4 linked regions of the Rhinolophus ferrumequinum genome follow. The protein of the gene in region 4 purifies or fractionates together with the protein of the main gene of each other region. This does not show direct contact. Links are inferred from orthologs where the notes say so. Each region holds a gene or a part of one and is shown on either strand. Other genes may lie near its edges.

Region 1 (7,629 bases), on a different chromosome or scaffold from region 4:
GAGGGGGATCTCTGGAACACGTGCGGATTAAATAACTGTGACGTTTAAAAAACATTCTCTGAAATACAGGGTCTGGAGACCCTCTGGGTAGGTGAACACACAAAGGTGCTGGGAGAGCGGCGCTTGGAGAGGGCATGGAAGCTCTGCACCCCTTCCCCATACCTTGCCCTCTGTTCCATCTAGCTGTTTCTGAGTTATAACTTTTATAATGAACAGATAATAATAAGTAAGAGCTTTCCTGAGTTCTGTGAGCCATTCTAGCAAATTATTGAGCCCAAGAAGGGGTGATGAGAACCCCTGATTTTATAGCCAGTTGCTCAGAACTGTAGGAAGCACAGACTTGCAAAGTCCCTATCTGAAGTGGGGACAGTCCTGTGGGGCTGAGCCCTGAACCTGTGGGGTCTGGACTAACTTGGAGCAGAAAGTGTCAGAATGGAGCTGATCTGCAGGACATCTGGCGGGTGTTAAGAGTTGGAGAATTGGTTGGTGTGGGGAAAACCCACACTTAGTGTTGGAAGTATATAGCAATGGAAACAGAGTGGCTTACTTGTAGGTTTCATCCCGGATAGGGTCTGGACCAGGGGTACCCCATGGAGGCGGAACATAGGAGAAGCCTTGTGGGTGGGAAAAGGGTGTGTGTGCAGTGAAGCCTATGCTTTTGTGTCTGCCTGGGTTACAGGCATGCTGTGTGCAGTGTGTCGGGGGGCAGTTCCCACCAGGAGGGCAGAACCAGGCTCCCAAAGACCAGGCTGTACCCTATGCCTGCCACCCCATGAGGGGTTCTATTTCATATATCCATGAGTCCATGTCATGCTCCAGAAAGGCACAGCCCTCCCAGCACCCCCAGAGCCAGCAGAGCCCACACATACATGGAAAAGCACGCCAGGGAGCCCCGTGCACACTACATTCCAGCCCACCCACCGGAAGACCCAACACTAGGCTCCATGCATTGACTAATATTCGGATGGACAGAACCTAAGATTCTCTTAACCTCAGAATCTCCATCCTATTACAAGCCATCAGAGAACCTGGAAGTCAGTCTCAGGATCTCAGGATCAATCTTGGACAATTGGAGTCAATTTCAGAACCTTCCAATCTAACTCAGTACCTCGAGATCACACTCAGAAGCATAGGAGAGTCTCAGAACCGCAAAGCACTAGAGTCAATCTCAGACCTTTCAAAACAGTTGACAGAAGCTTGGGGCCATCTCAGAGCCTCAGGCTCAAAGGGACCTCCAAGACTGTTCATCTGGCCCCTTTCCAGGACAGAAGTCACCTCCACAGCCTCCCTGACTTGGCTGCCAGCCTCTGCTATGAGCGCCCTTGACAGGGATGCTTGGCCCTGCCCACCACTCCCCTCTGCTGGATAAAGGCTCTAGAAATTCAGAATCATTTTCCTATCCAGAGGCTGAAATCTGCCCCCGCTGGTCCCAAAGATTTCAGGTTTAGACCCCTGTTGCCTGGATCTGCCTTGCCCCAGACTGCCCTAGTGTTGAGTCCCTCTGACAGCTTCCAGACCCCCACCCTACCTACTGAACACCTTCACCCCCAACAGTTACCTGCTTATGCATTTCAACGTTGAGCCCATAGGACATCTCATAGTACTGCAAAGGAAAAGCCAGTTGGCAATGTCCACGGTGCCGACGGATGTCCAGCCCTGTGCTGGGTGACTCTGGGTCTTCAGGAGCCCTCAGGCTGGGGTGGTCACCTCAGGGCACAGATCATCCCAACCCCATGGGGACCCCCTAGGGAGAAGCAGGTCACCCTTCCACTCTCTCCAGGAGGTGGGGCAGGTGGTGGTGCTGAGACCCTGGCCCAGAGATGAGGAGAAGAGACATTCTTGTCTCATTGTTCTTAAGAGCTGGGAGGGTCCTGGGAGAAACAGCCTGGAATCCCAACCAGCCAACTTTACAGATACGGAAAATGAAGCCCCAAGAGGGGCAGGGACTTACCCAGAGTGGCCCAGTGAGTTGGGATTCACAACCCAAGTGTTTTCACTCCTGGCCAAGCCCTGTGCCCCACTCCCCCCACCCTGACATGCTACCCTCCTCACCATGACATAATGTCGCTGCATTTCGGTCTTCTCACTGGCCAACTTCTCACATTCCAGCTTGAGGCTGGGAAGGAGAAAGGGCATGGGTACCCCACTCTCCATGACCCCCAGAGGGAGACTCAGGGAAACCGGGACACCCCACGGATACCCGCTTTGGGCCAGTTTCCAAAATGATGGGTTTGACACTCCTCCTCCCCACTTCTTTACACCCCCACCCTCCACCCCCGCCTTCCCAGACTCAAAATGTCCAAGCACCCACTGTCCCCATTTCCCTCACCCTGCGCTTCCACCTGGAAGCTCTCCCCTCACCTCTGGGGGCCAGCCCTACTCCCAGCACCCTGGAGGCCCCGCCCCCGCCTGGCCCGGTCCCACGCGCCCCGCCCCTCTCCCTGAGCTCCCAGGTGAGCTCGCAGGTGAGCTTCCCGGTGCCCCAGGAGGGGCGCCCCGCCCCCCCTCACCTATGATACTGAGCCTGAAGGAACTGGAATTCCTCTTTGATGCGGTCGCAGATCTCCAAGATCGAGAACTTGAAGGGCTGACCGGACTGAAGCGGGGTCTGGGGGGGACGTCTGAGGTCTGAGTTCCCGGGCGCTGGGTCCCCCACCCCCGCAGCCCAGGCCCCCACTCACCGGGTGCCTTCCCTGAGGGTACATCCTGTCGATCTGGGAAGCCCCCCTCGCGCCGGAGTGTGACAATGTGGGGGGGTCGAGGCGAGGGGGTGGGAGAGAGAAAGAGGCTGGGGGCGGGGGTCTGCCCGGAGAAAGAAGACGGGGGGCGGGCGGCGTGGGGCAGAAGACCCTGGAGTCCCCGCGTCCCCCAATCGTGCGCGCAGGGTCACGAGGACGGAGAGGGACAACGAGGACCCCTCCCCTGGGCAGGGGCGCTGGGCGGTGGGCGCAGAAGGTCGGCGAGCCGCGGCCGGGTGTCGGAGGCGCGGGCGGCGGGCCCCGCGCGGAGCCGCCTCCCTCCGGCGGGGCTCGGCCGGGAGCCGCGGGCTGAGCTGCCTTAAGGTGGCGCCGCCGCCCCCCAGGCCCGCCCACCCGGCCCGCCCGCCACCCACCCTGCTCCCCCCCCAACCTGGAGCCGTAGCTCCGGAAGCCCACCCGTCCCTTCGACCAGTGCCCAGTGGAGAAACTGAGGCTCGAGTCCAGCCCCACAAACATCGTCCCCGCTCACTCCCTCCCTCCCCAGGGGGCCCCAGAGAAAAAAAAAGCAAGGAAACAAATACCTGGCGGCCCACGGTGGGGAGAGCAGTTTGTGGTCAGAAATGGCCTTTCTGAGGATGTGGGCTAAGACTTAAGGATAAGGAGGAAGCAGCCTTATCAAGTGCTGGCAGGGAAGCCTTCCCCCAGGAGAAATGAAATAGCAAGGGGCAGAGGCCCAGAGGAGGGCAAGAGGTGGGGGGCCCAGGCAGGCTCTCCCCCACACTGGGCCTCAGGATTCTCTGAAAAGGGCAGAGGCAGGGGCTGTTTTTTACGAGATGGTACATGCACAGCCCTCAGCCGGGCTTGGCTCACAGTATGGGAGTTGGTGTTCCAACTGCCACAACCAGCAGACTGTAGGCTCTGTGTTTCTCCGAAAATAAGACCTACCTGGACAATCAGCTCTAATGTGTCTTTCGGAGCAAAAATTAATATAAGACCCGGTCTCATGGCTAGGTCTTATTTTCGGGGAAACGCGGTAGAAGGCAGAAGTCCCAGTGAGAATGGGAACGGAATCTCTGCCTTCAGACTGAAGTCTCTCTGAGGGCAGGGGCTCCAACCCCCACCATGGACCTCAGACATCCAGCTACTGTCCCTCACATTCACCTGGGAGATGGGATGTTCTTATTCCCATCCTGCGTGTGAGAAACCTCAGAGTCATTCATTAAGGCAATCAACAAACACGTACTGGGTGCCTACTCTGGACCAGACCCTGCTCTCGGCACTGGGGCTCTCAACAGGGAACAAAACAGAGAAAACCTCTTGCCAGGTGTTAATGTCCACACCCATGTCAGTAATTGTGTGAGTGACAATGTACAAAAGTCCTTAAACTTAAAAGCATCACTTTCCAGTCAACAAATTTATTGAGCATCTACTATATGCCACACATCCTCCCAGGCATACAAGAGTGGATGAAGGAGAATGGATTCCTGCCTTCTCTCAGTTTGCGAGACAAGATCACAGCTTGGTAATGATGGAATTATTTGTGTGCACAAGAGAAGAGTTTAGGGAGCAGTGGAAAAGGTTGACAAGAGGGAACCTACTTATCTGGGGTGTCTGGGAAAGGCCTCTTTGAGGAGGTTAATGTTGGACATGAGACTTGAAAGATAAAGAGAGGAAACCATGGGAGGGGAGGTAAAGAGAGATCCAGGGAGTGTTATCTGTGTGTGTGATGAAGGGAGAATTCAATGATTTCCTATTGCCTTCAAAATAAAATCCAGACTCTTCCCTCTTCCCACAAAGCCCTGCACAAACCCCCTCCCCACGGTCCCCATCTTGATCCTAACTCCCTTCACTTTCACCCTCATTCATTCTGCTCCAGCCATTCTCTGTTTCTCCAACTCTCCAGGCACAGTCCTGCCTCAAAGCCTTTGCACTGACTGTTCCCTCTACCTGGAACACTGGTCCCCTTGCTTCTCATCATTCAGGTCTCAGCTCAAATGTCACCTCCTCATAAAGTCCCCTCCTGGCCACCCATTGAAGCAGCATTCACCCACTCTACCTTGTTGTTTTTAAACACCGCATCCTATTCTCTCTTTCTAGGTCCTAACAGAGTTTTTATTTTTGACATGATTATGTTTCTTCGTGGGTTGTTCTAGTCATTATTTGTTTTCCCCTAGTACTAGGCTGTGTAGGGACAGAGCCTGTCTTGGTCCCTGCAGAGCTGGCCCACAGTAAGTGCTCAATAAAAAAACGGGCCTTGGGATGAGAAGAAAGAGCTGATGCAGCTAAAGGTGGTAATCACTGGCCCCACTCCTGCTGGGAAATTTTCAGAAGCAGGGAGTTCCAGGATTCCACAATGCTAGGAGATTGTGATTCTGGTTCTGGGGGGAGAGGGTCTGTGAAGTCCTCAAAAACTTTTTCCAGGCAGCCTTTCTTCCCCCTGTCCCCATGCCCTCCTGAACACTCATGAGAATGGCTGCACGCTCTGGGTCCACCCCTGGCCCCTACCCTGAGACCCAGCCCTGTGGGTGCAGCCACCAAATGGATGTCCCCCCTGGACACCCCCAGGTCATTAGACAAAGCATCTTCCCCAAACCTGTTACACCCCACAGCCCACCCTGACCCCCCCAAGATAGAGCATCAGCCTAGCCTCTTCTTTCCCCCTCACCTGCCATGCAACTCTGCTCCCCTTCCCAACAACCCCTGCCTGTACCAACCCTTCATCCTCCGCCATCTGGATCTCAAGCCAACTCACTGCTCTGAACAGCCTTCACTCTCATCACCTTCCTTTGAGTCTGGCCCTCCCTCACTCAAAGCCCTCCCATGGCTCCCTATTGCCCTTGGGACAAATTCCCAGATCTTCAGGTTAGCATGGATACCCTTCACCTCCTGGCCTGACCCAGCTTCACCTCCCTCTACCAGTTCAAACACTCCCTCTGCTCCAGCCACGCCAGCTGGATTACTTAATCTGTGTTCTTTCTCACCTCTGGGCCTTTGCTTATCTCTTCCTGGAATTCCCTCAGCTCTTTTTCTGCCTGCTCGAAATCCCTTCCTTCAGGGCCCAGCCCAAATGGCACCTCCTCCAGGCATCTTCCCCTCCGCACACACATTGAATACAGACTGTCTAAAGTTGATATTTATTCAATAACCACCTTCTCATGCTGGAAGATGCTGGGGCCTTAGGAAGGACCCGGCCTCAGGCTTTGCTGGGAGGGTTCCCAGGGTAGCTGGATGGGGAGAGACAGAACTGAGGACACACTCCAGGGCACACGTAGTCAATGCCAGAACAGGGGGACAGATCCAGGGCGGAAGCACCCCGAGGGAGATGGAACAGGGTCTCTGCCTATGGAGTCAACAGGAGGCTTCCTGGAGGAGGGAACCTTTACCTACCAGTCTTTAGATTTCTCAGCCAGGCACACTCCACTGAGGAGAGTAAATACAGATTTGTGGATTGCCTGAGAAGCCACAAGACCACACACACACATACACACACACACCATCTCTTGTGTGTGAGATCTGCCAAAAAGGAAGAGATGGTTTGCTCTAAGCAGTAGCAACCTCAGCTTGGGAGCAGCTCTGAGAATTTGGGAAGGCTCAGCTAAGAGTAGTCTGTGAGTTAGGAGGACCCTTAGGAAGCCTGTTACTCCATAACTCGCTGAAGTCCCACATTCACCCAGAGCAGGAGGCAGGGAAAGGCCTGGCAAGGCCTGAGTTACAGCCTGGGCAGTCTAGCACAACCTTCTCAATTCCCCAGCTAACTCGTTTGCCATGGTGCTGGTGGTGGGAGGCTCGCTTCAAGCTCCATCTCTCTGGGCCTCAGTTTCCCCATCTGCAAAATCCAGGAAACTGCAAAATGGAGGAAGGGGCTTAGTTTCCGATTTCTCCCCTCCCACTATACAGAAAGGCTCAGCCCCGGTTCTTGGCTGGGTTTTTATGCTGTGGATGTGGTTTATTTATTTATTTATTTATTTTAAAGGAAAAAGCTGAGAAGCAGCGCTGGGACCCGGGATTGCTCAGACCACCTTAAATCAGCCCCGCAGTCCCAGCTACTGTGGAAATTCCTTTCTCTGTGGTGGTTGGCTGAACGCGCCAGCCAATCCGCCCACGGTGCTCCCACATGGGTCCGTGACGTCACAATGGGCGCTGGCCAATGGGAATCATGGAACTGGCAACCAATAACGGGCGGCACTAAGATCGTCTAGGCCAATCGGAAGGCGGCGAGGCGCTCCCAGCGGGATATGCAGAGTGTAGCTTCTTCCTCCCTAAGAGAGGCTGAGACCCTCGTGTACGCCCCAGCCTGGCTAGGTTAGAGTGAGGGATCCAGTTCGATTACTATCCAAAAACATAGCAGCGAGCCACCCCGGGAGCCTGGTAGGTCTCCCCTTAAAATCAAGAGCCCCTCGCCCAACAAATTACCTTGCAAAACCCCTCTCAGGGAGCGGGGTCGACTGGGCGCCTTTCGCCCTATTTCACCGGTAGCTAAACTGAGGTAAAGAGATGTGAAGTCACGCTAGACCCCCTCTGGGAAAAGCTGAGACTCTCACCGGAGCCTGAAGGCTCCTAACACAGATGTTTTTGTCCCCAAGTCAGGTGAGGAAAGAATAGGCCAATGTGTGGGCGGGAAGCGGGGGGGTTGTGCTGGGCCCGTGCCTCAGTTTCCTCGAGCGCGAACGGAAGAGGAGATGAGAGCAGGGCTTCTCGGAAAGACTACGATCCCCAGAAGCTCCTGCGCGGCGCCCGCCCAAACTGTCAATCAAAGTAACGTGGGTTCCTCTCCGACCCGCGCTCCCCCGCCCTCCGCCTAGCTTCTGCCAGCTCCCGCTCCCTCCCCGCCGGCTTCGGGCCCGGTGCGGTATAATTACAGCCCATTGATCCGACCCGGGCCGGGAAAGCGGCTCCCTCGGGGAGGCCAAGCCTTTGGCTTCCGACATCG
Region 2 (6,891 bases), on a different chromosome or scaffold from region 4:
GTTTTCTCGAGCTGCTTGACCTCCCGTCTCGCTACTGATTCTTGATGACAGGACATTCAATGCCCTTGATTGATTTAGTGGAGAAGCTGCAGCGTTGGAGGGCAGAGCGCAGCTGGTTCTGCCTCGCCTGGGCTGCCATGGTCTTGTGCCTGGAGGAAAGATTAGGTCCCTTGCATGGGCCAGCAGCTGAGGTTGGAAGCTCTGAAACTCCAGGCGCTTTCGTTCTTCCTGTGCTGTGTACAGTGCCTGAGGCGTTTATTCAGGCCCCCGCCCTGCCCATCTTCCCTCCCCCCACCCATATTTCCCGTGACTTCTGTTGTATTTGACCGACACACTCAGGTTTGTAAATGTGTTCTCTGCTCACTTTGCTGTATCTTTGGCTTCTGGTTGCCAAGTAGCCCGAGTGAGGCTGGAAGGGGTCATCTGATCACCTTCACGTTCTAGGGCGAGGTCCCCCTCTCTATACAGGCAGGTTTAGGGTTATTCTGCTGTTTCAGATCAGAGCCTCCCCCGCTTCCACACCTGCAGCCTGATGGCAGCCATCAGCAGGAGGTCATCAACACCCTCCCCTGCTTTCATAGCTTGTGTTAGACCAGGTTCCGTGCATTTTTTGAGATTCACTTGTTTTCAAGATTAAACTGTCTTGTTTAGAGGCTTTGTGGAAAGCAGGCAATGTCCTTGCCTGTGAAGAATTGGAGACACCGGAAATTGGAACTGCAGGCCCAAGTCGCCAGCCCATCGCACGCCGGGTAATAAGATCACCGAGGTGAGAAAGATTAGCCTGTGAATTTCCAGCCTGCCATTACTCAGAGCCTCTCACTGCCATCCGGAAACCTGGAGCCACCCTTCCAAATGCTTATCTGGGACTTGAACAGTCACCCATGACACATCAGAACGAGTTTGCTTTTAAATGTCATGATGCTTTGAAATGACTCAAGCCCATTCTTAAACCTTCAGACTGGGAGCTGGGCTGTCACCAGCCCCTTCCTGATTTACACATGGTCACAGAATTTTGACCCCGAAGTGCCCTTAGAGATTTACCTTCTTCACGTCACCCATGTCACCCCGATGTGGAGCCTGAGGATGGGAATGGCAGCATCTTGGCCATGGCTACAGGAATGGGTGGTGAACCAGGGACCGGAGTGTGTATCCTGACCTTCAGTTCGGGACGTGGACCCCAGATGGCCTCTTGGTTCTGGGGTCACACTTGTCGTCCAGTAGGGGGTGACTCCTGCTGTGACTTGTTGGATGGAAGATTGGATAAGTGCTTCGGAGCATTCACTTACTCGGTACACATACAGAGGGTGCCAAAAAAATGTATACACATTTTAAGAAAGGAAAAAACTGTATTAAAATTGTAATGCTCCATATACACAATAACAACAGATAAATACAAGTCATGTGTATATATTTTTTGGCGCCCGCAGTATTTACTGAGGGCCCGTCACGTGGCTGGAACGGACTCATTAGAGGAGAATGCTGCCTAATGTCCTTAGAATATTGTCCGATCCCCCACATCTGGCTCATGTGAAGCTATCACCAGGGTTACCTGATTAAAAAACCCAGAGGCTGAATCCTTTCTTCCCTCTCCTTGTGGCTCAGTACATCTAGGATGGGACCCTGGCATCTTCATTTTAAAACAGTTTCCCCGGCGATTCTGACAAGCTGCCAGGTGTGCGTGCCGTGGCCTCCTTTACTGACTTTGTGGACACTCAGACAAGGCGAGTGGCTTTCCCAAGGTGACACATACTGAACAGATGAGGAAACTGGGTCTCACACAGATTAAGTGGGTTTCCCCAGGTCACAGAACTAACTATGCAGCTGCTTTTCTGCTGCCGTGGCTTCCTCCCAGCACTAGTGCCTGGAGTGGTTATCTGTGGCCCCTCACTGTCGTGTGCTGCAGGGTGGCAAGGCAGCAGCTGGAGTCGTGGTGTTGCGTTCAGGTGAGAATGAAACAGGGCCCGGCTGGGACCCCCCTCCCCCGCAGTGGAGGCCTTGCGCGTCCCGGCCTCGCCTTTCCTTCATATAGCTTAGTAATAGATTGTCCCCCTGTGGCTTGAGCTCGGAATGTCCCCTGTCCCGGTTCCCAGCTTTAGAAAGTCACCCTGAAACTTATGGTTAATACCCTTAGGCTTACTGATCACAATCTCTGTGGTCTAGCATTCTTTCCAGGATACTCCCATCACTGTTCCTGGGCTGCTGACACCACGGGGAGAACCACGTGGCCACAGGGAAGGCTCCGTGCAGACCCCTGGAACCATCATGTAGCCTCTGGAGGAACTCCCATGTTTTCCCTTAAATATCCTAAGCCGGTCTGAGAGAATGAAGGCAGTTTTTGGAGGTCTTGACCTGCTGCCTTATCAGATCACGTGTGTGTTCCGATAATAAATGCTTGTTCTACAGCCCAGACACAGCCCCTGTGTCTGTGTATCGGCTGGCCGGCACAGGCGGCATGAGCCCCGGACTCGGTTGCCCTCCAGTTTCAAGAACAGGGCCTTCTCAGGACCTCGCAGTCCTGAAGCCTCTGCTGGTGACGGTGGCATGTTTTGCCAACACAGAGCACAGGGAAAAGGAAGATTTTAGCCTCCATCTGTGTTTTGGTGATTTTGCCCTGAGTTGTAATGGAAGGATTGGGCTCATAGAGATGTAAGAACTGAATGAATGTGTGGAATGACTTCATGTTTGGACTGATTTAATCCAAGAACTTTTAGTAAACGCTTGCTATGTGCCAAATGAGAAAGATCTGGGATTGCACTGTTCACTCGGATGTGGAAAGGAACACAAGCGTCCTCAGGATTTCGACGTGGACCACCACGTGGTGTCACAGCCCTGAGAAGCCACACTGAGAAAAGGTATCTTCTAGAGCCCAGCCTGAGGTTTTTGGATGAATAAGGTACCCAGGGCGCCTACATTTCATTTTGGCTATACAGTGGTCGTTGCTAGTGTACTGGGCACTCACGATATACTAGTCACCTTCACAGGTTAATTTTATCCTTCCAGGTGGGTGTTATTATCCCCGTGTTATAGCTGGGAAACTAAGATTGAGCTCTTTAAGGGATTGACTAAGGCCACAGAGATGGAAAGTGATACAGGTGCGCCTGACACCAAAGCCCAGTGGAAGGGAGGAAGACCAACCCCTGGCCCCCTGCTGGGCTTTGCCTAAAGGTTACTGTGTGTCTCACTAGACAGGACATTGATTGAAGGCAGGCTCTGCACGCTGGTTGGGTTTTGTGTTCCCTCCTGCACCGGACAAGGTCTGCACACATTATAAATAAGCAAAGTCTGCTGAACTGAAGCAGAGAAAGAAAGTTACGCAGGAGGCGTACATCCACGCCTAGAAATCTGTAGGTTTTAGTTGTTTGCACATGAAGCTATCTCAAAACAGGAATAAACTGCTCAGAAAGTAAGATGGATTAAACAAAAAATTGCAATCATTGAAATTATTCTTTTCTCTTGGTGTTCCCTGAAAATCTGATTGGTACTGTGAAGGATACTACACGCACACAAACCCTCCCCCCACCCCAAATCCCATCTTCTTTTGTAATATTATCAATGGTTCTTTCTGAAGCTTTTCCTGCCTTTTCAAAATCTGAAAGAAAACAACAAAGGGGTCGAGATTCCTTTAATTTCAGAAGCACGTGGGTCCATTTGTAATTATAAAAAGATTTTTTTCAAAGTTAATTAATTTAACATAGTTTTATTTGTAGGATTGACTTTGCCACCACGCAGCGAAAGAATCGCAATAAACTCTGGAAAGCTGCACCGTGGTGACCACGGTAACGAAGTTGGAGCAAAAACTGCTCCCATCGCATCTTGGGAAGCGCGGCCGGAACGCTCTGAGGTAGTTTGGTCTGTTAGCCACGCCGTAGATCGCGATGCATGCTGGGTCTTAGCAATATGGCGTCCTCCTTGATGTGCTGATGAGAGGAGTTTCACTGTAGCTTCAAACCAGAGGGCAAAACTCCCCAAACCCAATAATCCCACATTACCTGTTTTCTCCGCGGCGCCGTGTCGCCCGTTTCTCAGGACTCGTTCTCAGGCAGGAGAGAGCCACGGGGCCGAAGGTCAGGACCGGCCAGGCCGCGCGGACCCGGGGCTGAGGAACCGGCTGCGGACGAGCACGATGGGCCGGTCCCGGCTCTGGTTGCAGCAGCTGCGGCGAGTGCGGGACCCGCAGGGCTGAAAGTGGCAGGAGGAGACCCGGGGCGCTCCGAACCCCTTCCCTTCGGCCGGAGACGTCAGCCCAGTCGGCGAACCGGCGTCAGGAGCGGGCGGCCTGCCTGTCCTCGGGTCGGCCGAGGCGTTGGAGGCCGAGCGCAGGGTCATCGTGCGGCCTGAAGCCCCGCACGCCTCTGACAGCTCCGCTCGCAGCCCCCCGGGAGCAGACAGCCTCAGAAGCAGCCGTGTGCGTCTGTGCAGAGCCCCCTGCGCTGCCCCATCTCCCCGGCCCTTCCTCCCCCTCCGGCTTCCCTCGGAGAGAAAGGATTTCAGCAGACTTTTTGCCAGAGCGAGGGTCTCCGCACGCTCTCCATTTGTTTCGTTTCTGACTCCCCCCGTATCTGTTTTGTAGTTGACCAGTTCTGGTGCCCACTAGCTTTTAAGGCTGGAGGTTCTCGAGCGCTTGCTGCCAAGGACCCCCCCACCCCCACCCCCCCTGATGGAGTCCGAAATGCTGCAGTCGCCCCTTCTGGGGCTTGGGGAGGAAGATGAGGCCGACCTGACAGACTGGAACCTGCCTTTGGCTTTTATGAAAAAGAGGCACTGCGAGAAAATCGAAGGCTCCAAGTCCTTAGCGCAGAGCTGGAGGATGAAGGATCGGGTAAGTGGATTCCGGCTGCGCCCCGAGGCCTTGGGAGTTTTTTCAACAAAGGAAAGTTCAGAGCCAAAAGCACGTCCTTGGGAAAGCGGGAGACGTATTTTCCTAGCCACATGTCGCAAGGCAACTAAAAACCACACACCATGTCAGACGCCAGTGTTTGGCTGAAAATGCAAAGGCTGTTTTGCTTAGTAATTCACAGGATAGTGTGAAGTCAAACCAAGTTCTGCATCAAACAAGAAAAGTTAAGCAAGTTTGCAAATAGAGCACTGCAAATATTTAGGCGCTGTTTGATATACTCAGTGCTGTTCTTAGAGGAAAAACATCGTCAGATATACTGCTTGTCCCCACGTGGAGAGTCTGTTGTGGTGAGTTGACGCTTTTTGTCCAAGCAGGTGAAATCCAGAAGTCTAACATAGCTACTAGGAAACATGATTACTGGCAAACGTTCATCTAGTAACAAATTAATGCAGAGTTGTTTTAAAGTTACAATGGACTTCATAGCCTTCTAAACCATTTGTCTTGAATACAGACTTGCCTCCTTTTACGTGCTATCATGTTGCTGTGACTTGGAGACAGAATTTCTCCAGGGGAGGAGTTAGAGTAGATGGAATGGAACTTGGGGCCAGGATTTCGGCGGCTCCCCATGGTGTTGGGAGTGCGCACAGTGATTCAGAAGCAACTGGTAGGAAAGAAAACAGCCCATTTTGTTGACTCTGTCCTTAATCAACGACCGTCTGTTTTCCTGGTCTCCAAAGCAAGTGTGTGGGACTGGCTCAGCTATGCACACTTATCATTTGTCTTTCTGTGGTTTATTTTCTCCTTCAAGACTGTATTTATTTAAACATTTTGGTGGTATAAGAGGGGTAGTTGGTGTTACCATGGGATTGCTTTGAGCTCATGAACGTGTTTCTATAAGATGATTTATTGTTTTTAGTATATGATGCTGAACATGTGAGCTCAGCCTTATGGCAGTCCTAGTCAATCACTGGTGACCAGCTACTGATTGAGCTTCTCTTTAAAAGGTTAGGAAAATTTGTTTCAGCCAAAAGCAGTGTAAGGAGTGCAAGAGACAGTCATCAGAAGAGATTGTATAAAGCCTGTCTTACGACCTCTTTAGTACTAATTATATAGTTCAAAGCTTTTGTGGTCTCTGCATGTATAAAAAGTTTATTTTAAAGTTACTGTCTAATCATTTTTTTTTTTCATTCTATTTGGAGGGCATTTTTTTTTTCCTTTTGAAATGTAGTTTCCTCTGCTATCCTAAACCTGTGCTCAAACAGTTCAAAACTGATAAGTGGATATATTTTTGACCTTTTAATTAAAACATTAAGTTTATGAGTGATCAACATCCCGTGATAAGCTCTTCATAGGTTATTAGGAGAAAGACAAGTTCTGTGAATCTGAGTAATTACTGAGATTACTACTTAGAAAAGAGCCAGGTGAGAAAGTTTGCCGTATCTGACGTTTGCAAATTGTTCAGTGAAGAAGAAAATCAGCAGCTGACAGTTTTAGTAAGTTTGTGAGAGCTTGGCATCTTAACAGTCCTGTCGTCTCTTTCCACTGGTTGGACCCTGACGGGACCTTTCAGTACACCATAGTAGGACAAAGGCTGCGAATTCAAAGACGGTAAGATTTGGAAGGCAGCATAAGTGAGTGAAACAGGCCAGCTCTAAGAAGAATAATGGCACAGGTTCAAAGAGAAATGGCAGCTGACATTGGACTTGTGTCTGATTTTTCTGGAGGGTGGAAGAGTGGGGCTTAGAAGAGTACGCCACATCCCTCCCTTTCTTTCTTTCTGTGGGGACAGAGCCCCAGAGAGCAGTTTCCAGGCTCTCAGCCTCACGTGGAAAGGTGCTGGCTCAGGTAGTAGGTGGCCGTCAGCTGTGACTAGTTGGCCGTCAGCTGTAACTAGTGAGCCATTGGCCACTGATATAACTGCCGCGGCTGAGCTAGCAAGCGCGGATTGCAGCCAGCACAGTGGGGTTGGTTGGTTGGCAGAGAAGCGTGGATGGCGGATTGCGTGGCTCCTACTTCCTGTGTCTCCAACCCAGCCGCCAGCAAGAAATAGTGGT
Region 3 (7,470 bases), on a different chromosome or scaffold from region 4:
TTCCACCCTCCCTCCCAGAGAGGGCTGAGAGCTCTGGCAGAGGGTCAGCTGCAGCCACAGTTGACTCAGCCCATGCTCTTGACTTCAGGAGGGCCAGGCTGCCACCACTATCTGCAGACTGAGGGAGGATGGCCCCAGGAAGCTGGTGGCAGCCCCTGTTTGCACCCCTCTCTCACTCAGTAGATCTGGTCCCTTCCCACTGCCAGGGCTTCCAGAATAAGAGATTCCACAATTTGACCCAAGTTCCCTGCACATCAACTGGAACCTTAATTACACCCAGTGGGGTTCAGAAAAGGAAAGCTGGAGCCTGACTGCGTGCTTCATGTTGGCTTGTCCCCAGACCATAGCCAGCCACTTTGGGGGCCTCAGGACCCCCGCCCGGATTAGGCCAATCACTCTAAAGCCTCTCGGATTTGCGAGGTGACGCTGCCGTGGGGGAATTTTCTGATGGGCTGGAGTAGCCAAAGGCGCACCTAGGCTTTCTCGGGGTTTTTCCTCCTCTGACCCCAGCCACCACCAGCGTCAGGCAGGGAAAGACCCGCGTGACTGAAACAAAATCTTTTCTAGAGTCTGAAAATAAGTAAGTTCCAAAGAAAACTCTCCTAGGAGGAAGGGGTGGCTGTGCACTAACTCCCCACTCTTCCTCCTGAGATCAGGTCTTTCTCATGGAAATTGCCTTTTATTCTTACTGCTGCTACCACACCCTGTCCCCAGGCTGAAGCTGGAGGCTTCTCCTCCGCTGCTCAGGGAGAGACCAAAGTCAGACGCCAAAGAGGGGGAAGCCCAGAGCACCTGTCTGCTCCTTCCAGAGCCCTCAGCAGCATGAGCTTCATACATCTGGTGCCTTCCTTCCCTACAGGTGGGGGCAAGGCTGGCCTCAAAGAGAGCTGTGACCCTGAACCACTGCTCTCCCGGGAAGCAAACAAAAGGGTGAGGGCTGCTACCTGGGTGACACTTACTAGTTTGGGAAACAGTATTTGGGAATCTGGTCTCCTGCAAAGCCAGCTTTGATCACCCCCGAACCCTGCAAGAAAAAACAATGTTTAGCTGCGGGCATGGAGGTTGTGGGCTGCCAGACCAAGGCGGCTGGGGAGGAAGCTGAGATCCTGCCAAGAGGGCATGTTCATTCACTAGTACACCAGTGGTTCAAAACTGTGTGTGGGGGGGCGATTTTGCATCCCTTCCCCCAAATTCAACAGTGTCTTGTTGCTACTGGCATCCAGTGGTAGAGGCCAGGGACACTGGACACTAAGCACCCTACAATGTACAAGCCAGCCCCTCACAAGCGAGAATGATCGAGCCCAGAATGCCAGCAGCAAGGACCACGGAGCACCCCCTGCACACTCCAGGGCACTTCCAGGCAGGAGAGATCCATGGGAAAGCTACTCCCAAAAGCCAGCCAGAAGCAGTCCCTAAGCGTAGTTTCTTTCAGCAGCTCCTGTCCCCTGGTCCCCAGCCGACGGGACCACATACAGGGCCCACGGGAAGACCACTGGGTGCCTGGGGACACTGGCACTTCTTCCATGGCTTTCCCAAAAACTGCAAGCCAAGGACAACTTGTCCTGCCACTGCCCTAGCCTGGAAGCTGGACTTTGGGTCTCAGAGACCTTGCACCCTTCCATCCAATGAAGGAATCAGCATCTCACCCCCCTTCCCAGATTTACATCATAACACTTCCTTTCTGCAGTGCACGAACAAACATCCCCAAATTACAGAGCGGCTGCAGGCCAGGGAGACAAGCAGGTAGCTCTCTGAACGCATAAGCTTGTTGATTAGCCTACGTAATGATTTGCCCAACAAGAAGGGAGGGGCCTGGTCTCTCCTGTCGCCTGCTGGAGAGCACCCCCTAAGCTCGGTTTTAGCATTCTTAGTAAACATCGCCTGATGTGACTCAAGGAGCCCACAGGGGTACTTCAAAAAAGACAGCTGTTCAGGGATGACAGGGGGATCATGTGGGAGGGAGACAGCTCCCCAAAAGAGCAGGGAGTCGTTATCAAAAACTGCAAGGCTGGCACACCAGAGGCAGACAGCCAGCTAGGGGCAATGCCATAGACGCCTGCCCTTCATTTACTTCCCAAGGACCAGAAATTTCTGAGGCCAGAAATCCTCTGAGGGCAGCTGACAGCATGCTGAGTCCCAGGGCTGAAGGACATAGACACCGGAAGCCAGGCATCTTTCTCTGCGGCTTCCAAACAATTATCCCCAACTGCTCATGGGCCCTGCCGGCTGTGGCGTTCCTGCTCCACACAGGGAGCACTTCGGCAGAGGATCAAAGTAGGCACTGGCCATCCTGGTGGTGGTGGTGGATTTGTGGCTGGGAGAGCTGAACTTGCATTTTTCCCCAAGTCGTAGGAAAAGAGCCCAGGTAGGGCTGTCCTCTCCGGAGGTCCTGCCTGGGGGGTGCAGCCCCTTGGGAAGTGCTGTTAGAGGTCACCAGGCCAACCATCTCCAAAAGGCGGGCCAGCAGTGTGCAAAAGGGCAAATGCCAACCCTCCTCTACCAAGAGAGGCAGCCAGAGGCACAGCCCGAAAAAGGGAGAAAAGGGCTATACTCGGCACCAGCCCAGCGACCCCATTCTGAACCGAGCGGGTCCCGGGTGCGTGCCGGGGCCGGGCCGCCCGCGGTCGAGACGATCACCATGGGGCCGGCTGGGGCAGGGCTCGGGCAGGGGCCCCACGGCCCGGGCTACAGGGCCAGGCGGGCGCGCGGGCCTCGGGCGGGGGCAGCGTGCGGAGGACCAGCTCAGGCAGGCGGGTTCCTCCCGGTGCCGCCGCATGCGACCCGCGGGCGGGGCGCCCGCCCTCCCCCAGCTGCCGGGCCTCACGTTGTCGATGACCACGGGCTGGTTGGCGATGATGTCGTAGGACTCCATGGCCGGGCCGGGCCGGGCCGGCCCTGCCCAGCAGGCGGGCGGCAGGAGAAACTGGCGGACGCGCAGGCGGGTGGACCGGACCGCAGCGGCTCCAGACGCGGGGCCGCGCCCCTCCCGTGCGGAGCGCACAGCCTACGCGAGCCCGGGGCTCCCTCGAGGGCGCGCCCCGCGGCCAATCACCGTTCCCATCCGGGCGGATGACGGCGCGCGCCCCGGGCCCGCTGCCGGCAAAGGGGCGGGGCAGAGGGAGCCCGCCAGCCAATTGCGGCCGCGGGGAAGAACCGCCCAGGCGCTTCCAAGGTAGGCTGCACCGTGTGGGGATGACGTCATGGCCCCGCTCTTAAAGGGGACGCGGGAGACGGCAGGCTCGCGGGCGGGAGGTCCCCTGTCCAGGAAGACGTCTTCCGGATTCCCAGCGCCTCCGACTACACCTTCATGGGCACGCAGTCCCCAAGGAGGCCGGCGCTGGATATTATCACTCAAACCATTTCTTTACTGAGCACCGACGAGGACCCTCTCCCTTGTAACAATTACAATTTCGTGGTAACTTGGTATCTGGCGTTTAGCCAGCGCCTGCTATGGTGCTTGCGGAGCATTTCGACACACTTTACGTGGATTGCATTATTCAATCCAGGCAATAAGTCTACCAGGTAGTTGTATTATTATTCCCATTTTACAGATGTGGGCACTGAGGAGCCTCACATTTATGTAACTTGCCCTAGGTTATGTAACTAGCAACAGCTGGGGCCTAACCTGCAGGCAGCCTCCATCCGCGCAGGAGTCAACGTGCAACAATCCTGAATTCACTTATTAAACTGAGCCGTAGTGATGGCCTCTATATATGCCTTTCCCATTGGATTGTGAGATTAAATTTGGTAAAATTGAAAAACATCATAAAGTGCAGATATCATTAAGTATACATTCAATGGTTTATTATAATTCGTACATGTTGTTGAAAACTATAGAGAAAACTCAGCTACGGAGGCAGGAGGGCAGGCTCCTCAATTATCAACTGAGATAACTAGGAAGAGGAAGAGCTCAGAAACCTTACTTTCGAGGGAGAAACAGAGAAAGAGAGAGGAAAAGAGAGAGAGGTGGGTAAGAGAATGACAGTGCAGGAGAGAATCCTCCAAACCCTGTAGGGCCAGCCACTCCCTCCTGCTCTTTGGAGCCATCCTCTCAGCACCTCCCAGACAGCACCTCCTTTTCTCTCTGGAATGTCACCCTAGCACTTAGATTTCTTCTCAATCTGTTACTTACACCCACTTTACAAAATAAGGACTGTTGGTCGGGAGAAGGGTTATACTTGTCAAAAGGACTCCTCATGGTTAACTGGGCCCAAATTCATATTCCCAGTCTAGTAGCCATTGTTTACAGAGCCCCCACCCCCACCCCCACACAGAGCTGCATTGCTGCATTGCTGCACTGCTACATTGCTGTATTGCTGCAGTTCAGGGAAAAGCCACAGACTGGGATGCCAAGACTTCTACACAGTGTTCCTGCCTACTAAAGCTCGCCTGTATAAAGGACTTCTTGGAATGTATTTTGACCAATGGGCTGAGACCAGCCCCATCCAATCAGAGCTGCACAGTTTTATACTCATTTGCATCTTTACTGACCAATCAGAGTGGCTCCATAACGACCAATCAGGACATGTGATTCCAACCAATCAGGACATTGCCGTTTGGACCAATCAAACTTAAAATTTGGATCTTTCTTTGCATAAAAATAGACAGATGGGGACCAGGGCAGGCACTTTCTCTATGTAAGTGGGCCTCCGCTTTGTCTTGGAGAAGCACACTTTCGGTTTCCTCTGAGTTTCCTCAGTTTCCCTGAATAAAATCTTGACTTTTACTGCACCCTGGATTGAGGATTCCTGTTGTCCTTGGATTAGTGGCAGTAACATTTTGTTGACAAGACAAAATGCACCAATGCAGGTAAGTTCTTAGCACATATGGAGGAACCCATAGGGTGGGGTCCTTGAAGAATTTCCCTAGAATCAGACCCCAAAAGAAAGATGATGGAATCCTAGGCTTGATGCCACCTCCTCCTGGTTATGCTGAGAGTGTGAGTTTTGTGTTGTTTTATGTTCTTTTTTTGTTGTTGTTCTGTTTTTGTTTTTTTGAAGATATTTTAGAGAAATAATATTTATGCTGCTGCTATTACCTAATGTTATGGGTTGAATTTTGTCCCCCACCTCCCACCCCTAAATTTATATGTTGAAGTCCTAACACCCAGTACCTCAGAATGTGGCTTTATTTGGTGTGTCTACAGAGGTTACTGAGGTTAAATGAGGTCACTAGAGTGGGTCCTAATCCAATATGACTGGTGTCCTTATAAGAAGAGGAACTTTGGACACAAATATATATGGAGGGAAGAAGATGTGAAGACATAGGGAGGAGATGGCCACACACAAGCCAATGCAAAATGAAAATGCAGGGAAAAAAGTGCAGTTAAAGGTGCTAAAATATAAAGATTTTTCCTTTGAAAGTAGTGTGATACTTATAAAACATAACAAGGGAAATAGTGATACGTGAATGATAACATCAACTTATACTTTTGTTTATAATATTTTTGGTGTTATAATTTTATGTAACACAATAAATAATAATTTGATATCCTGATTTATCCTAAGATTTTTCTGGCTACTCTAGCCGCTTCCAATTAACTTAAGCTGATTTAATAGAGTTTTTGTTACTCGCGACTTAAGAGTTCTGGTTAATGTCCTACCGCCTTCAGGTCACAGCACTCGCAGGATGGAGGAAGGCCCTGCGGGGCACCAGAGTCCCCTCTGGTCCCTGTGCACAGAGCCTGGGCCCTCCCTCTACCAGCTGTAGAACTACCTCCACCCATTCCGGTTGTGACTTCACAGATCGGCGAGTTCCACAGTATCCTGGCTGAGGATTTCAGGAGGTTTCCTTCTCTCTAGTGGTGTCCAGACCATGGTAAAGCTGAGAGGAGCAGGGGCCCTCTTATTTGTCCTCTTCCTGGACTGTTGGCAGTGTGCAGACATGCATCAGCCTTTCCCACCGGTCGAAGGTACGGTCACAGGTAGATTGCAGGGGCATATGGAGAAGTGGGAGACTCACTGTGAGTCTCCTTCTGTGAGCCCTGGTGTGGTGAACCTGGAGCCTCTCATCACCCCAAATCTGCCATAGGAATTTCTGCTCAGGAGAAGGGAGTAGCTTTAACATTTTTCCTAATTTTGCAGCTTTCTCAGAATCCAGAGCCCCACAGGAGGGTAGCATATATAAACATACATTTTAACTTTTCATTATAAACGTTTTCAAACACACACAAAAGTAGAATGATTAGTAGAATGCACCTCCACGTGCTAATCAGGCTGAGCTGGTGTCACCTGCTCCCTCACACACATTGTTTTCAATAACAGCTTGAGACATTTTTACGTAGCATAAAATTCACTCTCTTAAAGTGTGTAATTCAGTGTGCTTAGTATATTCAAAGGGTTGTGAACTACCGGTATCTAATTTTAGAGCATTTTCATCACCTCAAAAAGTCAGTCACACTCACTGCCTTCCACTCGCCATTTACCATTTCCCACAGCCCTTGACAACCACTAATCTGTCTGCTCTATGGATTCGTCTGTTCTGAATAGTTCATACATGGAGTCATGTGGTCTTTTGTGACTGGTTTCTTTTATTTAACATACTTTCAAGGGAAGTTTCTCTTCAAAACCTGCGATGTGTGTCTGTCTCCCTCTGTTGTCCCCACACTGAGCACTGAGCACAGCGGTCAGGTCACAACAGATGATGACCTGAGATGGGAGACGCGAGGGCATTTCTCCTTCCACAGTCACATCAGCACCTTTTATCTCCTCTCCTCGCAGGCCTCCTGAGGTTGGCGCGTTGCCCACCAGTCGCAGAGGAGAAAACCAAACCCACAGCACTTTACTGCCCAAGCCCACAGGCACTCAGAGGGGGCCTAGAACCCGTGTGTCCCCTAGAGCAGGCCCCTTGCACGGTGCTGTTCTCGGAACAGCACCGGGAGACGATCGACTTGCGATTACACGCGGAGCCAGTGAAAGAAAGATTTACTCACAGCTACGGTTTACTTTCCCCCACAGGGTCAAATGCTGACCGTTCACCAAGTTCAAAAAATCTGGAGGAAGGTATGGCTAAAATATTTGGTAAGTACCTTCCCCCGTGAACCAGTCGGGCTGTGTTTGAGCGTCTCCTGCGCATCCCTGGCCGGCCCCCAGATGACCTATCGGCTGCCCTGATGGGAAGGGAGGTGCTTTGCACGGAGGCTGGAACCAGTTCTCTAAGTGGCAGGCAGGCAGGCAGATTCCCTAGAAATCATCAAAAGCATAGAAGAGCAACATGCAGAAAGGATTCTGCTCCTCACAGAGCGGGGGGTCCACCCTCTGGCAGGTGTTGGAAGTGCAGCCTCAGTGCCAGCGGGGACCAGGTGCATCACAGCTGCCTGGAAGGTGCCCAGGAGATGCTGCACGTAGTGGAGGCGGTGAGGCCCTGAGGCTGATTTCGGCCTTCTGCCCAGGTCCTCAGCCTAACTGAGCACGACAGTCCCCTGGGAGATTGTCACATAGAGACTTCCAGACCCACCCCAGCCACGAGGTT
Region 4 (7,344 bases):
AACATTTTTTTGGGTAACAAGTTTGTACCTTATAAAGCTAAAAACTGTCAAAACACTAATCTCCAACTATAGATAGGCAAATTGTACTGCAGTAATATAATCAAATGAATACCTCAATTAGAATACTGACACCCAGAAATGTGCTTGTCATTCAACTACATTCAAGAGACTAAAAACCCTCTACACAATGATACTATTCGTTCTGTTTACTGTGATTATATAAGCAAAAACTGGAAACCCAAACTTGAACTTTAGTGGCTATCTCTGGAGGGTAATGCGGGTTTTCTCTGTTGGGGCAGGATGAGATAGCAGGGTCGTGTTTGTGTATGTTTTTCTTGTTTTCTAGATTTCGTGCATTGAGTACATTTTGGAAAGAATGTTAAATGTTTAAAACAGTAGTATTTTGGTATACCGACCCATGATCGACTGCAGAATTCAAGAGAGCCTCTCTTGCTGCCTTTGTGGCTTCTCTCCAACCAGCTATGATGGTCTGTGGATGAATCTTTCTGGCAATTAAAGATTCTGCTTCCTATTAATAAACAGTGGAAAACACTTGTCAATAGTGAAGATGTAGGAAGTAAGGACTTCATTACTTCTGACATTCAAAACTACAGTAGCAAAAACTAATTCATAAAATGAGGTTAGAATTGCTCAGATAGTCTTACCCTTAGCAATTCTGCTGCTAAAACAGTAACAGAGGTAGTGCCATCACCAACTTCATCATCCTGAACCCTTGACATATCTAGAAAAAAAAGTTAGTTAACTCATTTATATCTGATTCTGCCTTTTAAATTACTTCTCTGTAGCTAAACTAATTCTCCAAACATACCCACTACCAATGTAAATCTCACTTATCTAGGTTTTCTCACCTGACAAATTCTTTGGAACTTTTCAGTCTGAAATGCAACAATTTTACTATTAATAATTACATGGCACTCCAGAAGCTTGTATTTTAATGACAATAATCAATTAAAAAATGGACAATAGTTAAAGGAAGTACAGCCAACACAGCCTATTTAAAATATGTTTCAAAATGTTAACAAAAGAGTATCTCCAGACTCACCAACTAAAACTTTAGCCGCTGGATTGTCAACACCAATGTTCTTCAGAATAGTTGCACCATCATTGGTTACCATAAGAGAGGCATCTCGTCCACTGCTTAATAGAATTTTGTCCTAAAAGGAACATATTTGGTTCAAGTTAAGATATAGATACAGCTTGAAGAACGCATGGGTCAATCACTACTCTCGTATATTGTTAATGTGTCAATACCCTGGATGGCTATTTGACAGTATCCATTCAAATTTTTGCAATACATACACCCCACAAGCAAACCCTGGTATCTAACCCTAAAAACACTAGAACTGGGCGACATGAACAGTTTGTCTCAGCACTATAATAGCCAAAACAATGGAACAAAGTGTCCCTCAATACAGTCATAAATATAAACTATAAAATAATCAGGATGCTGAATACCATTTGACACTTAAGAGGCAGTTAATCATTTACACTGAAAAGAATTTTAACAAAGCAAGCTACAGAAAAACTACACATAAATACCTATGATAAAACAAAATGTTACCAGTATATAAGAAAATACATAACACATAAGATACACATATATTTACATTAATGAACAAAAATATTGGGAAGATCTACATCCAAATGATAACAGTGGTTGTCAGTGGGGAGGAGAGTGGGACTGGGGATGGGCACTGAATGGGACTTCAGCCATATAGGTACTGTTTTGATTTTCAGGAAAGAGAATATATCCACGTCTTACCTATATAATTAGAGTTAAGTTTCAACGATTAAAATGCATCAAGAAAAGTATTATTTACTATGTACATTTTCACTAAGGGCTCTAAAACAATATCAAAACAAAAATTCCCTCTTTTTCTTACCATGCCCTTGGGTCCCAAGGTGCTCTTTACCAAGTCTCCAATAGCGATGGCACCAATAAAAGAAGACTGGAGTGAAAATCAAAGAAAGAGATTGTCAAAATCACCTTGAGTCTTAAAATGGTAAAAGTACGATTTTATCTTTCAAAGAATGAGAAGAAGGCTCACCAGACGAGCTGTCTCTGCTCTCTCTTCGTCAGCTCCAGCCTTGAAGATGTTAACGGGTGCAAGGGAAAGGGACGCCTAAAAAGGAAAAACAAAAACCGGTGTGAATGCCAATATTCTTTTAACACATATACTTAGATGCCCTCCAGTAGACTTACAAGAAGATATCTAAGAGGAAATTGATGTACAGAATAGTGTACTTTTTCCAAAAAATGAAGCTCTCCATCATCAGGGCAGTCATTTAAGGGGGAGGAGACACTTCTAAAAGCTGTGTAGGAAAGCAACCTTGCTTTCTGTATCTACAAGTGCTCCAAGAATAAAAATTATGTACTAACTCTTAAGTATGGCAAGACTCAAGATGACTTTTAATCTAAGGATAGGCAGGCAGGGCTTGTAGGCCACTCGCAGGACAACCGCCAAGCGGGTGAGGGAATGGAAGAGGCCTAGCTTCCAACAGGCCGCTCCAGGCTCCGCCCCGAGAGGGAGGGCGGGGCCTGTCTCGCCGACCCGCCCGGAGCCCTGGAAATTTCTTCGCTAAGGGTGAGCCCCGGGTCTCCCGGTTCTGGGGCTTTGGAGAAGCGGTGTCAGAGGACGCTGGCTTGGAGGCCCACCCTCCCCCTGGCCTGCACCGGGAGCTTCGCCAGCGGCCTGTGCGCAGGCCACACGCCGCGGCCCTCACCGTGTGCGGCAGTCCCGGAGCACAGAAACAGGGAGCCCGAGGCACTGGGAGGACAAGAGGGGGCGGCAGGGCACGGCGGAGTATGGCGGGGCATGGGCAGGGCCAGCGGGGCCAAGCTCACCATGGTTCCAAGCAGTTCGGCACACACGCTACTCCTTCACAGCTCGCGCCCGGGACCAGAAGGAAAAGAAGCCGGAAGTGACGCCTCACGCTCTACCGTAAGGGGCGGAGCCTCGGCCGGTGTGCCGCTCCGGCCTAGCGCGGCTCGCGGAGGGAGGGAGGAAGTGCCATTTTGAGTGGAGCCCTGCGGGTCTTAAACGCAGCCCGTCACATGGGAGGGGCGCGGCCTAGGCTTGTGCTCCTCCTCTCCCTGCGGCGCCACCTGCTTGGGGCAAGGAAGCGGGGGTCTGACATCTTGCTTGAGGCCGGCAGTATTGGGAGCAGAACCCCGGAAGAACTAGAGACGCTGCGCCGCGGGGGTTGCCATAGTAGCGGAGTTTGTGCTTGCACGTTTTTTCTTAATCTTTAAAGGTTTGCCTTGAAGTACCACATATACATAGGTTAAAGTGTTATGTACTAGTAATGAACAACATAACTCACCAACCTCATCCCGTCCTCTCCCAGAGGCAACCACTCTCAACTTTTCAGCTTTGTTCTGTAGTGGTTATTTACCAACATATTCCTAAATAATATTTTCATCGCTATTTTGATTTTAACTATTTATTGAGTATTACGAGGAAGACACATTTTATTTTATTGAATTTTAAAACGCTGTTTTTAATTGGATGTTGACTGTCCAGGACAAGATGTTGTGAACTGATGGAGACGTTTCCTTTCTCTTTGCTTGCTCATTTTCAGGAGGTTTTTGCGTTTCACTCGTTCCTCCCCTCCCCCACTAGTAGAGATAACTAATATACTCTTACATAATGCTTTGGTAGAGATCAAGATCAATCCCAAAATTTCAGTTTATCAAAAACAGTTTTCTACTTTCTCTGAATTGACCCCTTAGGACCGTTAAAGCAAAGTTTTGTGCAAAAAAAATGTTAGTTTTCTACCTGCTGATACCCTTTTCTCCGTTTGACTCATGAGTCAGTTAGCAAGTTCTTGGATTTTGGGCAATTGTTAACACTGGTAGACGTTTTCAATTTTTAAAATGTTTCTACCTTTCAAATATTCTCTAAGAAGGTTGGTTTATACCAGGAGTTGACAAACTGTATGGCTGGAGAGTAAAGAATGGTTTTTACCTTTTTAAATGGTTAAAAGAAGTTAAGACTATTTCATAATACATTAAAATTATGTGAAACATATTTTGGTGTCCATAACACTTGGTTGGAATACAAGCACACCCATCACTTTTTATATACTGTGCAATAAACAATGGAAGTTATTTATGACAGACTGTATGGCACATAAAGCCCAACATATTTAAAGCCTGATCCTTTATGGCAAGTTTGCTGACCCTTTTACACACTATTTCCAGGGCCATCACGAAAAGGGCTGTTCAGACTGGACAAATTGCTATTCTAAATCTATCAAGACTTTTGCAATCTTTGTAAGGAAACTTGCTTTCAGGAAATGCCCTTTAACACTCATATCCCAAATCGCACACTAGAATGTTACAATAATGAGAAGCTAAGATAACTGCATGACACTGAAAACTGCTGTATTTATTGTGGGCAAAATCATATATCTGGAAATATGTCCTCTGGCAGGCAAGCCTGAAACTATGGGTGATGGAGAAACCAACATCCCCTCCCTACTGGGCTTTGGCGTGGAGGAAACATAGCCAGAGGCTTTGGATGGAGACTGGGAAGGCAGGCCCTGCCACCTGTGGAGCTGAGGCTCGAGACTGCCAGGAGACCCCTATGAGGGGACTCTCAGCAATTTCTTTCTTCATTGCATGTTTTTCTCTTCCTCCTTTAGTGTCACCCTTGTACCACAGGTTTTAAACACTCAGCTTCTGGAACCAGGCTGTGTAGGTTTGAATTTCAACTTTTCCATTTACTAGTTTTGTAATTTGGGGTGGGTTCCATAGGCCTGCTCACCCTGATCTGTAGCAATGTGACAAAGTGATTTGTTGCTTGAAGCCAGTTTTAGGGTGGTTTGTTGCACAGCAATAAATAACCTAAACACTCCTTTAATAGTGCCTTTGAATAGGTATCTATCCAGTTTTGCTTCCATTTCTCTGAGAGCCTCCTCTTCAGTCTACCTGCTTTATTAAAATGTCCTCTAAGGTACCCTCCATGTTCATCTCAGAGCAATCTAAATTATTTGTCCAGTGTTTAAAATCCTTCAGACACTCACCTCATTTAAACAGTCCTTAGCATCCTACAGCTCCTTATGGCTCTCATTTCTCCTTTCTTCTCTGTCTCCCACCCTGCCTTTGCACCCCACTCGTCATACAGAACCACTTGCCACTAATGAACATCATCTTTCTATACCTCTGTGCCTTTGCATGTTATTCCTTCTCCCTAAGACGTCCTGTCCCCTCCTTCTCTAACCTATGAAGGCTCTCGTCAAACACCTCAGGGATTACCTCCTCCAAGCTTTTCTTGAAAACCTCCATTGTCAGGTTGTTAGATGCCTTTCCCTCGTGTGCACCTTAACACCATTCATACTAAGAGCTGGAGTTACAATTTTGTCAGTTCTCCTAAGGCATATAGCTATTACCATTCTCGCGATAGCAGAGAAGTTAATTCATCATATACAATTTATGTCTTGGGGGGAAAGGGCATTGATTGCTCCCATTAAAAAAAGGATTTCTAAACTACCAATGTTTTTGAGGACAAGGATTGCTATCGTTATTACTAGCATAGGGCCTAGTTCATGCTCATTCATTAAATAAGAACATGTGAATAGCTACTGTCTTCAAAGGGACTCAAAAGAAAAATATAGAAATAATCCAAATAAGTTTTTCCAAGATTTGGTCTCTGCCACACCTTAACTAATTACGTGTTCCATGGGTCTGCCACCCAATCATTTGTGGACTTCTCTTTCCCCTTCATTGTTTAAATGATCTCCATCTTGAACCTTATCCAAGTAGGCTTTACAGTATCACTCAGTGACCCCAAAACAGGTTTGAGGACTCAGAGCTGAGAACTACCAGTTTGAATGACAACACAGATAAAACTGAGAAAGTATGTCAAATACTTCAAATTTCATTTCACTTTGATGAAACATAATCTTTAACCCATTATATGTTCACTTTGAAATGGAGGCAGTGATATGAGACTAAGAAAACCTTTTATCATAGTTTCAAGAAATGTGTGAAATATAAATACAGTAAAACTTTACATAGGTATCCAACCAAACTTTTATTGGGATTTTATTGCAATCTACTTTAGGCGATAAGGGGAAAGTAACCAGAAGAACTCCGATCAGATTTTATTCAACAAAGCAGTTTTTCATGAATGCTTAAGGTCAGTGTATAGTCAGCTCAACTTCCATTATCAGCTTGAGTACCTCATCACGGAAATTTATGCCAGAATGACAACAGTAAGGCATCGCAAGATCCTATATCATCTAAGATTAAACCATATTTTACATATAACTTTTAGGACAATATACTAATACTCTATAATAAATAAAGATTTTAAAAATGTGTTGCTTAGCCCTTGTTGAACTGAATTCAATTATTAGCTTATTCTTTAAGTACTCCAGTTAATAAAGGTTTGATTGTACTTCAAGAATTCTGACGTTTCCAAAGATAAAAAATTAGTTCTTATTTGTTATGACAAAAATTAAGCTTAAACGCACATTCACACTTGTCCTTAAAAGCATGTTTACATCATATATGAGATAACTTCTCATGCCTGGAGACATGGTTCATATGGCAAAAAATCATCTGGAAAGAACAACTAGAGGGCAATCCTCCCATTTCCACATCCTCCAAAAAGCCACACTCGGCCTCAGTGTAAAAGTTATATTTTATTGCCATGCTACAAAATGTATGAAGTTGGCACTGATAGGGAGAAATAGAGAACAAACGGTGAGGAGGGACAGAGGGCAAAAGATGTTGTTACATATACATCAAGGTTTTAATCAACAGTGGTAAATTTTGCCAATATTAAAAATGCAAACCAAATTTAAAATGCTGATATGAAACAGCATTAAAATACAATTTATGCATAGTACAGTATCACTTATGTCTTTTATTAGAGAAATATGGAATGTTTATAAAAGAAATTAACCATAGGGGGTAAAATTCATATTTTCATATACAATTTGGCAATGGTAGTCCCACTGTTAGACAATTTTCTATAAAAGAAAAAAATTAAAAATCTAATAAGCTACCTTTATACAAAGTTGCTATATTTATGCCTTTATGTAGGAAAAAACATTTATAATGCAAATTAGGACATACAATGTTACATATCATACAACGTAATGAAAATAAAAACATAACATAAAATTTGTCCTTTATAAAATGTATACTTTGCATTTACTAATGCAAATGTGGCACACCGGTGACTACTGTACTATTAATACCAGTCCATTTCCATGCTATCATTATCTAATTGTCATAGAATTGCAATTGTAATGATGCTACAAAGAATTGTGTTATACCCCCCAAAAATGAGGAAGGAGGAATGGGGAAGA

What was found.
Region 1: the proteins of CCT2 (region 4) and TLE2 purify together in Homo sapiens (affinity purification with mass spectrometry; 3 studies listed by BioGRID and IntAct, with this or other methods). This does not show direct contact. The link is inferred for Rhinolophus ferrumequinum from reciprocal best matches to the Homo sapiens genes CCT2 and TLE2.
Region 2: the proteins of CCT2 (region 4) and RPTOR purify together in Homo sapiens (affinity purification with mass spectrometry; 3 studies listed by BioGRID and IntAct, with this or other methods). This does not show direct contact. The link is inferred for Rhinolophus ferrumequinum from reciprocal best matches to the Homo sapiens genes CCT2 and RPTOR.
Region 3: the proteins of CCT2 (region 4) and ACTR1B purify together in Homo sapiens (affinity purification with mass spectrometry; 3 studies listed by BioGRID and IntAct, counting the BioPlex papers as one, with this or other methods). This does not show direct contact. The link is inferred for Rhinolophus ferrumequinum from reciprocal best matches to the Homo sapiens genes CCT2 and ACTR1B.

Annotation. Positions count from the first base shown.
Region 1 is NC_046301.1:60,196,551-60,204,179, reverse strand, and holds the start of TLE2 (transducin-like enhancer protein 2), read right to left. Parts: upstream 3,010-7,629; 5' UTR 2,706-3,009; coding exon 2,682-2,705; intron 2,609-2,681; coding exon 2,511-2,608; intron 2,117-2,510; coding exon 2,053-2,116; intron 1,604-2,052; coding exon 1,559-1,603; intron 1-1,558.
Region 2 is NC_046304.1:53,774,315-53,781,205, forward strand, and holds the start of RPTOR (regulatory-associated protein of mTOR), read left to right. Parts: upstream 1-3,879; 5' UTR 3,880-4,657; coding exon 4,658-4,819; intron 4,820-6,891. UniProt on the Homo sapiens protein: Component of the mechanistic target of rapamycin complex 1 (mTORC1), an evolutionarily conserved central nutrient sensor that stimulates anabolic reactions and macromolecule biosynthesis to promote cellular biomass generation and growth.
Region 3 is NW_022680356.1:2,451,877-2,459,346, forward strand, and holds the start of ACTR1B (beta-centractin), read right to left. Parts: upstream 3,018-7,470; 5' UTR 2,873-3,017; coding exon 2,825-2,872; intron 1,025-2,824; coding exon 960-1,024; intron 1-959. Other genes in the region: C13H2orf92 (uncharacterized protein C2orf92 homolog), read left to right, coding at 5,815-5,911, 6,957-7,019. UniProt on the Homo sapiens protein: Component of a multi-subunit complex involved in microtubule based vesicle motility. It is associated with the centrosome.
Region 4 is NC_046293.1:65,558,389-65,565,732, reverse strand, and holds the start of CCT2 (T-complex protein 1 subunit beta), read right to left. Parts: upstream 3,016-7,344; 5' UTR 2,870-3,015; coding exon 2,867-2,869; intron 2,145-2,866; coding exon 2,070-2,144; intron 1,971-2,069; coding exon 1,905-1,970; intron 1,176-1,904; coding exon 1,064-1,175; intron 743-1,063; coding exon 666-742; intron 530-665; coding exon 417-529; intron 1-416. UniProt on the Homo sapiens protein: Component of the chaperonin-containing T-complex (TRiC), a molecular chaperone complex that assists the folding of actin, tubulin and other proteins upon ATP hydrolysis.